Caenorhabditis elegans: one gene and its partner. The protein of the gene in region 2 purifies or fractionates together with the protein of the main gene of each other region. This does not show direct contact. Each region holds a gene or a part of one and is shown on either strand. Other genes may lie near its edges.

Region 1 (4,320 bases), on a different chromosome or scaffold from region 2:
CGGAGTCGTCGAGAAGCTTGAAGCCGGCGGAGTACGAGTCCTGGACGTCGGGTGCGGCGGTGGATTCCATTCTTCGCTGCTCGCCGAGCAATACCCAAAGTCGCATTTTGTCGGGCTAGACATTGGAGAAGATGCCATCCGGCAGGCGAAACAACGCAAGACTAAATCAGGAGCGGCTTTCAACAATCTCGAATTTATTGAATGTGACGCCGGAAAAATGCCAGAAATCTGGACGGACTCCTTCGATTTGGTGCTTATTTTTGATGCATGCCACGATCAGCGGAGACCAGATTTGGTACTGAAAATCTTAAATTTTCTAAAAAGATATTTTATAATTTTCAGTGCGTCCAAGAAATCCACCGAGTTCTCAAGCCAAGCGGGATGTTCGCTATGGTAGAGGTGCTCGGCTCCAGTAACGTATACACCGATAAAGCCGCCATGGGCCCATTGGCTGCAATGATGTACGGGTGCTCCATGTTCCATTGTCTCCCTGTCGGAAGTAACTGCCCAGATGCTCTGTGTTATGGTGCAATGTGGGGGCAGAAACGTGCTACCGACCTGCTTAAAAAATGCGGATTCCCTGATGTGAAGGTTATTGATACCCCATATTTCCCTATTAATGTGATGTATTGTGCCCAGAAAAATTAGGGTACTATTGAAGCCTTTTAATATTTTAAGTCCGCACAAGACCTACTAAATTAATTTTGTTTAATTTTTGTTTGAAATAATTAAACTCTTTCATGGCTGGCTGGGGAATACAATTTATTTTAAATTTCCAAAAATTCTCAATCTTATGTCAGTTAAATACATTTAGAGACCCAAATATTTCTTCGCAATTCCCATCGCCTCATCGTCACTTGAAAAAGTCAATTGTGAAACTTCATTGAGCACATCCGAGTACAGCTCCGTGGTGCTGAAAATTTAAGTTTCGATTAAAAAAAACTACACTATAAACTCACAAGTATCTCTCTGCAAAGCTGTTCACAGTGGTCACAATCAATTTTCCCTTGTTCTCGGGGCGACTAGCCAGCTCCACGGCAGCGACGACGTTGGCTCCGGACGAGATTCCACCGAGAATTGCCTCCTCGTCGGCGAGTCGCCGCGCCATTTGCATCGCATCGTCAGACTTGATGCGCAAAATTTCCGTGAACAACGAGCGATCGACGTTTCCTGGCACAATGCCGGCACCGATTCCTAGAAGTTTATAATGATAAGAAATGAGTGATAACGAAATGTTAGCACTTTCAGACTCCCTCATATTATGAACTGGCAGAGTTTCAGCGAGATGGTTCTGAACCTCGACCGCAGCCGTGACTTTTAATCATTCTTACACGTAGTGCCAGGCTGTCTCATTACGGTTTGATCTACAAAAAATGCGGGAATTTTTTGCTCAAAAATATGTGACGTCAGCACGTTCTTAACCATACGACATTCAGTTGAGAACTCTGCGTCTCTTCTCCCGCATGTTTTGTAGATCTATGTAGATCATGCTAAACTGAGACACTCTAACACCACGTGCGACAGATGTTCACCATGGGACTATGAAAACCCGTGAATGTAAATCAAACCTTGAATTTTGTGTGGCCCTCTTGGCAGCCCACTCAAGACTGAACTCTCGTATGGCTCAACCGGGTAGATCTCAATATTCGGATTCTGCTCGCGGAGGTATCTTCCGACTCCTGTCACAGTTCCACTCGATCCTACACCAAAGCACACAATATCAACTTTTCCTTCGGTTTGCCTCCAAATTTCTGGCCCAGTGGTACGATAATGAGCGGCTGGATTGGCGGGATTCGAGAATTGATCAAGGCAATGAGCATTTGGAAGCTTATCGACAAGCATCTCCACTTTCTTAATAACTCCCGGATGTCCTTCAGCTGGATCGGACAGGATCACCTCGGCTCCGTAGGCTCGGAGCATGGCACGACGCTCAACGCTCATGGTGGCTGGCATCACGAGAATCACCTTGTATCTAAAAATATCTTATTAAAGTTTTAATTTTTTTTCCGCTGTAAAGTCAGTTGTCAAACCCTCGAATCTTTCCAATATGAGCCAAAGCGATGCCCAAATTTCCACTGGTTCCCTCAACGAGAACCGTTTTTCCGGGCACAATTGTTCCAGCTTTCTCGGCTTCGTCCACCATTGACTTGGCAATTCGATCCTTGACAGAGCACGATGGATTCAGATATTCCACTTTGACAGCTGAAATTTACAAATTTTCAGCGAAATTTCATAAAATATTGTTACCGATTCTGGCATCCAAGCCTTTGGAAATATTTCGGAGAAGCACCAATGGAGTATTTCCGATAGTGTCCCCACTATCCTGAACCATCAATTCACGAGACATTTTCTGAAAATACAAAAAATTGAAGTTTCAAACAGCAGAAATATGAAAAAAAGAGATTAGAAAATTTAAATTTTTATTTTTAAAAAGATGGTTTATTGACGAAGAAAAGTAAATACAAGACGTCAACTGACTCTGCCTCACAACAACATAGGAAGGGAGGAGATGCAAGCGGGAAGACTGTAGGTCACTATTCACCTGCAGGAAGCCCAAATAGATCAAAATATAGATAAAGACTTTTTGATCTCTGAATGTTACCTGACGCAGATTTATTTCTCAGCGAAAATTCCCGCTTTTATTTTAGATCAAACACTGATGGGACAGCATAACACTACAGCTTTATTCAAGTTAAAAAATTTTTTGTTGAAATGTTCACTTTTCAGAAATATTAGTTTTCGATTTCTAATAATTTCGACCGAAGTTTCAGACTTTTTGTGTCTAAAATATTGCAAGTAAAAATTACTTTAGGGGGGCGGAGCCTAGTAAACAAGGTAGATCAAAAATAAATTATGAGAAAAATGTGCGATTGTATTTTTTCGATAATATATCTATTTTGAAAGTAAGAATATTATATGAAAATATCCAAAGAAAACGGGAAAAATTCGAAAAGGCACAGTTTTAAATGTATCCGTCCTATAAAAAATCCATCTAAAAACTTCCGGCAAATTAATGTTCGACAACGGCATATCGGCAAATTGCTGGAAACTAAAAGTTCCGGCACATCGGCAATCCGGCAATTTAAACTAACTTTTCAATCAACTCTAGCAAGTTTAGAAATACTGTTCGTAAAAGTTTACAAAAGTTGGGCAAAATTGAAACTTGGCCGAAATTTGCCAAAAAGTCGGCTAAGAATTTGCGGAAACCACAAAATACGATGGAAGAAAAATCGAAAGACTGCAAGAATTCGGTGTAAAATGAAACCATTTATAACCCCACAATCATCACACTCCGCCTTGTCCATGTCGATTTATCATCGAAAATTTATGCGCCTACTTTCCGCTCGATTGCTCTATGTCTGAGTCTCCACTCCTTGCACATGTCTCTCGCGGTGAACGTGACTTTTCTGATTTTTGTACGCGTTAACTGATGGTCACCAAAAGTAAACATCCCTTTTTGGCAAGTGGTTCAGCGAAAAGTGCGAATTACAGGACATGTGCTTTTTTATTTTTTTAAAAGATGGATTTATTGGTTGACTTGAAATTTACAAATAAAAAAAGCGTATACCGTATTTCTTCTATTAATATGGCTGCAATACTATTTTTCGATGGTCTTCCCGCTTGCAATACTAATAGGGAGTGCAAGACTATTAGGGAGTGCAATACTAATGTTCAGAACATTTTCTGACTTTGAGCTTACTAGTTTTTTTCCAGAAAAAACTCGAATCTTATGTGAAAATTCAGAAAATTTGATTGTAATTGCAACAAAAAGGTACAATAACTTCAATTTCATAGAAATTTTACCAAAATTGTTGCAAAGTAGGCAAAAAATGTTGTTCAAATCTCAAAATTAGTAGGGTGGGTTTGTACCAAAAAAAAAGTAGATGCAAGACTATTAGGGAGTGCAACACTCATAGGGAGTGCAATACTAATTTTCGGAGGGTGTTCAAGGAGCAATACTAATAGGGAGTGCAAGTCTAATAGGGAGGCCATACTAATAGAAGAAATACGGTAAATACAAAAATTGTGCAGCTATTCATTTTATTCCCTGTAACGCCTGTCCAGCGCGTGTTGAATCGCCCAAATTGACAAAGGGCGCATGTAGCCCAAGGCTCTGTACATTCCGTCGGAGGTGATGGCTTCTGGAGTCTGATACTGAAGTGGAAAGCGGTGCCAAATGGATTCGAAGAGCCCTTCAGAAGTTTTGAATGCTTGCTCATCCATGCCCTGGAAAATTTGTTCGATTTGCGCGTAAAATGTGGTTTATTACGTTTCTGAGACTGCGTAATGCGCAACATATTTGACGCGCAAAATATCTCG
Region 2 (5,308 bases):
CGTACGCGATTTGACTATCGGATTCTAGCTGCAAATTTTAAATAATTTTTTGAATTTTTGACAGATCCGCTTCCCCCAAATCCTACTTTTCTCTGAATACTATCCAAGATCCGTGTGGCTTCCACAAGGAATTGCAGTTCATGAACCGGTCCGCGAATGTCCTGGAGGTACATTCGAAAGATCGCATAGAGACGGGCGTCGCGGAGAATTTCGGTGAGTTTCAGCTGGAGAAGTGAGTCGGGGAGATTGTCGGAGGCGCCGGATTCATCGGTAAGACCCTTTAAGAGGGGAATGGGAGTTGTCTGAAAATGAGAATTTCTTGGGTCTCGACAGGAAAACTAGTTTTGAGCTGCCGCCTATTAAACTCCAAAACTAGGAGCGTGATGATGTCGTAAATCGACAAACGACAACCAGCGTAAATCGACAAAAGACATCGTAAATCGACACACAACGTCGTAAATCTACACACAACAGCGTAAATCGACAAACGACAGCGCAAATAAATAAACGACGGCGTAAATCGACACAGCACGTTGTAAATCAACACTCCGTGTCGTAAATCGACAAAAGCCATCGTAAATCGACACACAACGTCGTGAATCGACAAACGACAGCCAGCGTCAATCGACAGACGCTATCGTAAATCGACAAACGACAAGCAGCGTAAATCGACATACAATGTCGTAAATCGGCAAACGACAGCGTAAATCGACAGGAGACATTGTTAGGAAACAGCGTAAATCGACAAACGACAGTATGCGTAAATCGACATACGACTGGGTAAATCGACAGAAGACATTGCTAGACAACAGCGTAAATCGACAGACGCTATCGTAAATTGACACACAACGTCGTAAATCGGCATACAACGTCGTAAATCGACAAACGACAGCCCGCGTAAATCGACACACAACGTCGTAAATCCACACACTACGTCGTAAATCGACCTGATTTTTTAGGGACCTAAAGCATCCTTACATCCACATGTTCCTCGATCATCTCCACTTTACGATGTTCATCAAACAACAGAATCAGCCAATAATTGATCGTATCCGGCTGCGTGAGCATATCAAAAACCGGCAGGAGCACCGCATTCGTCAGCATTTCCCTCAAAAAGCCCCGCACCGATTTCGACGGCCACGGCCGTTCATTCTTCCCCCGTCCAAAAAGTCGTAGAGGACTATCATCATCGTGAGCCCGCCCGGCGAGCCGAGTCTCGTCGAGAAGCCTCGGAATCAGAAAATCCGAAATCTGCCTGACATAGGCCGTCTCCTCATCACGGCCGCTCAACGCCACGTGGATGTCGTCTAGCTGCTCGGCGATCTTAGTTTCGAGCAGGGATCGGGGTGGTGTCGGAGACTCGCGAAGCTTCTGCTCGAGCTCATTGATACGGGTTATGTAGAATGAGGCTATGGGGAGAGCTTGATCGGAGACGAATTCGGCGAGATCGACGCGTCGGATGCACCGGATGAGGTTGGCCGATGCGTAGCGGAGTTGGTACCTGGAATTTGAATTCTTTTGTTGATTTTGGAGAACTACAAACTATAAACTACAAGCTAGAGGGTACGAATTAAAAACACGGTTTGATCTACGAAAAAATGCGAGAATTTTTGCCCAAAAAAATGTGACGTCAGCACGTTCTTAACTATGCAAAATCAGTTGAGAACTCTGCGTCTCGAGAAGATCTTCTCCCGCGTTTTTTGTAGATCTACGTAGATCAAGCCGAAATGAGACACTCTGACACCACGTGAAAAACTACAAACTATATGATTCACATACATCACTAAATTGTATTAGCGCACAAGTATACAATTTAGTAGCAGTGACTTCGGACTATAAACTACAAACTACAAGGTACGGACAACAAACTACAAGTTACAAGGTTTGGACTACAAACTACAAACTTCAAATCACATTTATAAATATTGCGTAACAGAAAATGTATATATTATTAAATACAATCACATCAATAAATGATACCAAGATCGACATACTACGCATACTACAAACTACAAACTGCAAACTACAAACTGCAAACTACAAACTACAAACTACAAACTACAAAATGCGAACTACATCCTCAACAAGGTCACAACTAAAATTGATTTACGCACGAGTATTAGAATAACACAACTACAAACTACGAATACTACAAACTACATACTACAAACTACGAATACTACAAACTACAAACTATAAACTACGAATACTACAAACTATAAACTGCAAAATTCGAACTAAGTTCTGAAGAAAACTAGATACTTGACAAGTTGACACGCACGAGCACAACTTTCATTTTGATAACAAAACTGCAAACTACGAATACTACAAACTAGAACATGCGAACTACGTTCTGAATAAAACTAGATCCCTAACAAGTTCACATCTAAAATTTATTTGTGCACCAGTACGACCATTTTTATGATAACACAACTACAAACTACGAATACTACAAATTATAAACTACAAACTACGAATACTACAAACTACAAAATGCGGACTACGTTCTGAACAAAACTAGATCCTTGATAAATTCAGAAAATACAATTTATTTGTGCACCCGTACGACCATTTTTATGATAACACAGCTACAAACTACGCATACTACAAACTACAAACTACAAACTACACCTACCGTATCTCGTTAATAAAAGCTCGATCCCTGCTAATCGCCCCTCCATACCACCCATTCACATATTGCTCGACAATCTCGTTCAGCAAATTTTCGACGGCCTCGTTCAGTGAAGCCGGTAGGCTGAGGCCCTGCCAAGGCATCCGTCGGGTCTTCTCCGAATCCAGCCTGGCATCATCATCGTCGTCGTCAGCTTCTTCGGCTTCTGGCTTCCTTGATGACGTGGTGGCAGACGGATTGAAGTAGTCCTTCCATTGGTATAGCATCTCTCCGTTCGAACACTCGAATACCCATTTTGCGAAGAGAATTCCGGCGAGCAGTGAGCCGATTACGACGAGAATCGATACGAATCTAAATATTGATTTTTTTGTGAAAAGTCTGTCGGTCGGTGGCCGAGAATTTCCTCTTCTCACCCAAAGTCGGCCGCGTAGAAGATCGCCGTGAGAAGAACCACGGCGGCGCCCACGTGGATCTTTTGTTGTTGTTGTTGTTTCGGATCGGACATGTTCATCATAATGAGTTGTGTTGTTGTTGCATCTGCAAAAAATTGGAAATTCAGAAATTTGAATTTTTCTCACTTCAAATGTGATTTATTCGAACTTTTTCCAATTTCTTAGAAATTTTTGAAATTTTTGAAATTTTGGCTGAATTATTTCGAACTTTTGTGAATTTTTTTTGAGTTTTTTTTTCTTCGAAAAACATGCCGAATAAAGGGAAAAACTGAAATTATCGAAAAAAAAGTCGCATTTTTTTTTTGAAATTTTGGCTGAATAATTTCGCTAAAAATTTAAATTTTTTTAGAAAATTTACAAAAAAAACTTCCTTTTTTTCGGAAAAAAAACTTCAAAAATCGGAATTTTTCACATCAGGTTTAGTGTTTTTTTTTTTCAAAAAAAAAGTTTTTTGACATTTAGAAAAAAGAGGGAGTTTTGGCAGAAAAAAAACCAAATTTTTTAATTTTTAAAATTAAAAAATAGTTTTTTGGCACTTTTTTTGAAATTGTACAAAAAAAAATTGGAAATTCAAAAATTGGAATTCATTTTCCAATTTGTTTTTGGATTTTTTTTTGTTGAAAATTTTCGATCTTTTTAATTGGTTAATTTTGTAGTTAGAGGCCTCAAAATTGATCTCCGAACCCTAAAAAATTGCCCTTTTTCAATTTTTAATGGTTTCAAAAATTTTCAGAAAAAAATATATTTTTTTTTACCCAAAAAAAAGGACAGCCTGAAAAATTGGGCAAAAATAAAAAGTTGTCTAAATTTGTTGAAAACGTGTAATTCATGAATGCTGAATTCAGAAAATCTAGGTTTAACCCATCAAAAATTATTAAAAAGTGGCAAAAATGACAATTTATGGCAAAAAATCACAGTTTTGAAACGGCTCTAAAATGGCCAATTTTATAGTTAGAGGACTCAACCCTCATCTCCAAACCCTTAAAAAATGCCGCTTTTTAATTTCTAATGGTTTCGAACATTTTCAGAAAAAATTTTTTTTCGAAAACTTAATTTAATTAAAAATTTTTTGGCACTTTTTTGAAAATATACAAATTTTTTTATAAATATATTTTTTAGTTCCGTAAAAAAATGTAGTTTTTAATCCTTTAAAAAATCGAAAAAAAAAATTTTTTTTTTGGAATTTAATATTCAAATTATTTTTTAAAAGCTTACATAGCGTCAAAATTTGGCAAAAAACTATTTAAAAAATTTTTTCTTCAAATTTTCGGAAATTTCATGTGGTGTCAGAGTGTCTCATTTTGGTTTGATCTACGTAGATCTCTACAAAAAATGCGGGAGTCGAGACGCAGAGTTCTCAACTGATTTCGTATGGTTAAGAGCGTGCTGACGTCACCTATTTTTGGGCAAAAAATTCCCGCATTTTTTTGTAGATCAAACCGTAATAGGACAGCCTAGCACCAAGTGAAATTAATTTTTTTTGTCTGAAAAATTGAAAAATCAAAAAAAAAAACTTTTTTTTCTGAAAAAAATAAATAGTAAATATATATGCGAAAATTTACAAAAATTTATAAAAAAAATTTTTTTTTTTTAGAATTTAATATTCAAATTATTTTTTTAAAGCTGACATAGCGTAAAAATTTGGCAAAATCTTTTTTTTTAATTTTTGCGAATTGTTTTGTCCTAAAAAAATTGTAAAATCCTAAAAAAAAACTTTTTTCTGAAAATAAATAGTATATGCGAAAATCTACGCATAAAATTGAAAAAATTCAAAATATTAACAAAAAAAAATTCAAAACAAGTGTATTGTGCGAGAAATCGAAATCAACAAAAAAAAGCAAAAAAAAAAACAATTCTAGCGGAACAAATATTAAAAAAAAAACCAAAAACAAAAAAAAAAGTGTATAAATTATTCTGGTTAATTTTGTAGTTAGACGACTCAAAATTGATCTACAAACACTAAAAAATTGCCCTTTTTCAATTTTTAATGATTTCGAACATAAAATCAGAAAAATTAATTTTGTCGAAATTTTTGAACTTTTTCAATATGTATAGAAATTTATTTTCGTAAAAAAAATGCCGAAAAAATTGGAAAAAAATTTTAATTGCAATTTTTTAAAAATGTTTTATAATATTACATTTTTTAGCAATTTTTTTGAAACTGCAAAAAAAAGTTTTTTTTTCGTAAAAAATGTAGCTTTTAAATATAAAAAATCGAAGAAAA

The links.
Region 1: the proteins of snx-14 (region 2) and cysl-3 fractionate together in Caenorhabditis elegans (co-fractionation; one large-scale study listed by BioGRID). This does not show direct contact.

Annotation. Positions count from the first base shown.
Region 1 is NC_003283.11:3,773,787-3,778,106, forward strand, and holds cysl-3 (Cysteine synthase 3), read right to left. Parts: upstream 2,351-4,320; 5' UTR 2,348-2,350; coding exon 2,248-2,347; intron 2,203-2,247; coding exon 2,031-2,202; intron 1,973-2,030; coding exon 1,569-1,972; intron 1,195-1,568; coding exon 960-1,194; intron 914-959; coding exon 811-913; 3' UTR 750-810; downstream 1-749. Other genes in the region: rips-1 (Methyltransferase domain-containing protein), read left to right, coding at 1-295, 343-648; R08F11.1 (Non-lysosomal glucosylceramidase), read right to left, coding at 4,042-4,227. UniProt on the Caenorhabditis elegans protein: Primarily catalyzes the formation of cysteine and acetate from O-acetylserine and hydrogen sulfide.
Region 2 is NC_003280.10:13,528,050-13,533,357, forward strand, and holds the start of snx-14 (Sorting nexin-12), read right to left. Parts: upstream 3,170-5,308; 5' UTR 3,147-3,169; coding exon 3,046-3,146; intron 2,984-3,045; coding exon 2,636-2,983; intron 1,502-2,635; coding exon 979-1,501; intron 303-978; coding exon 87-302; intron 29-86; coding exon 1-28.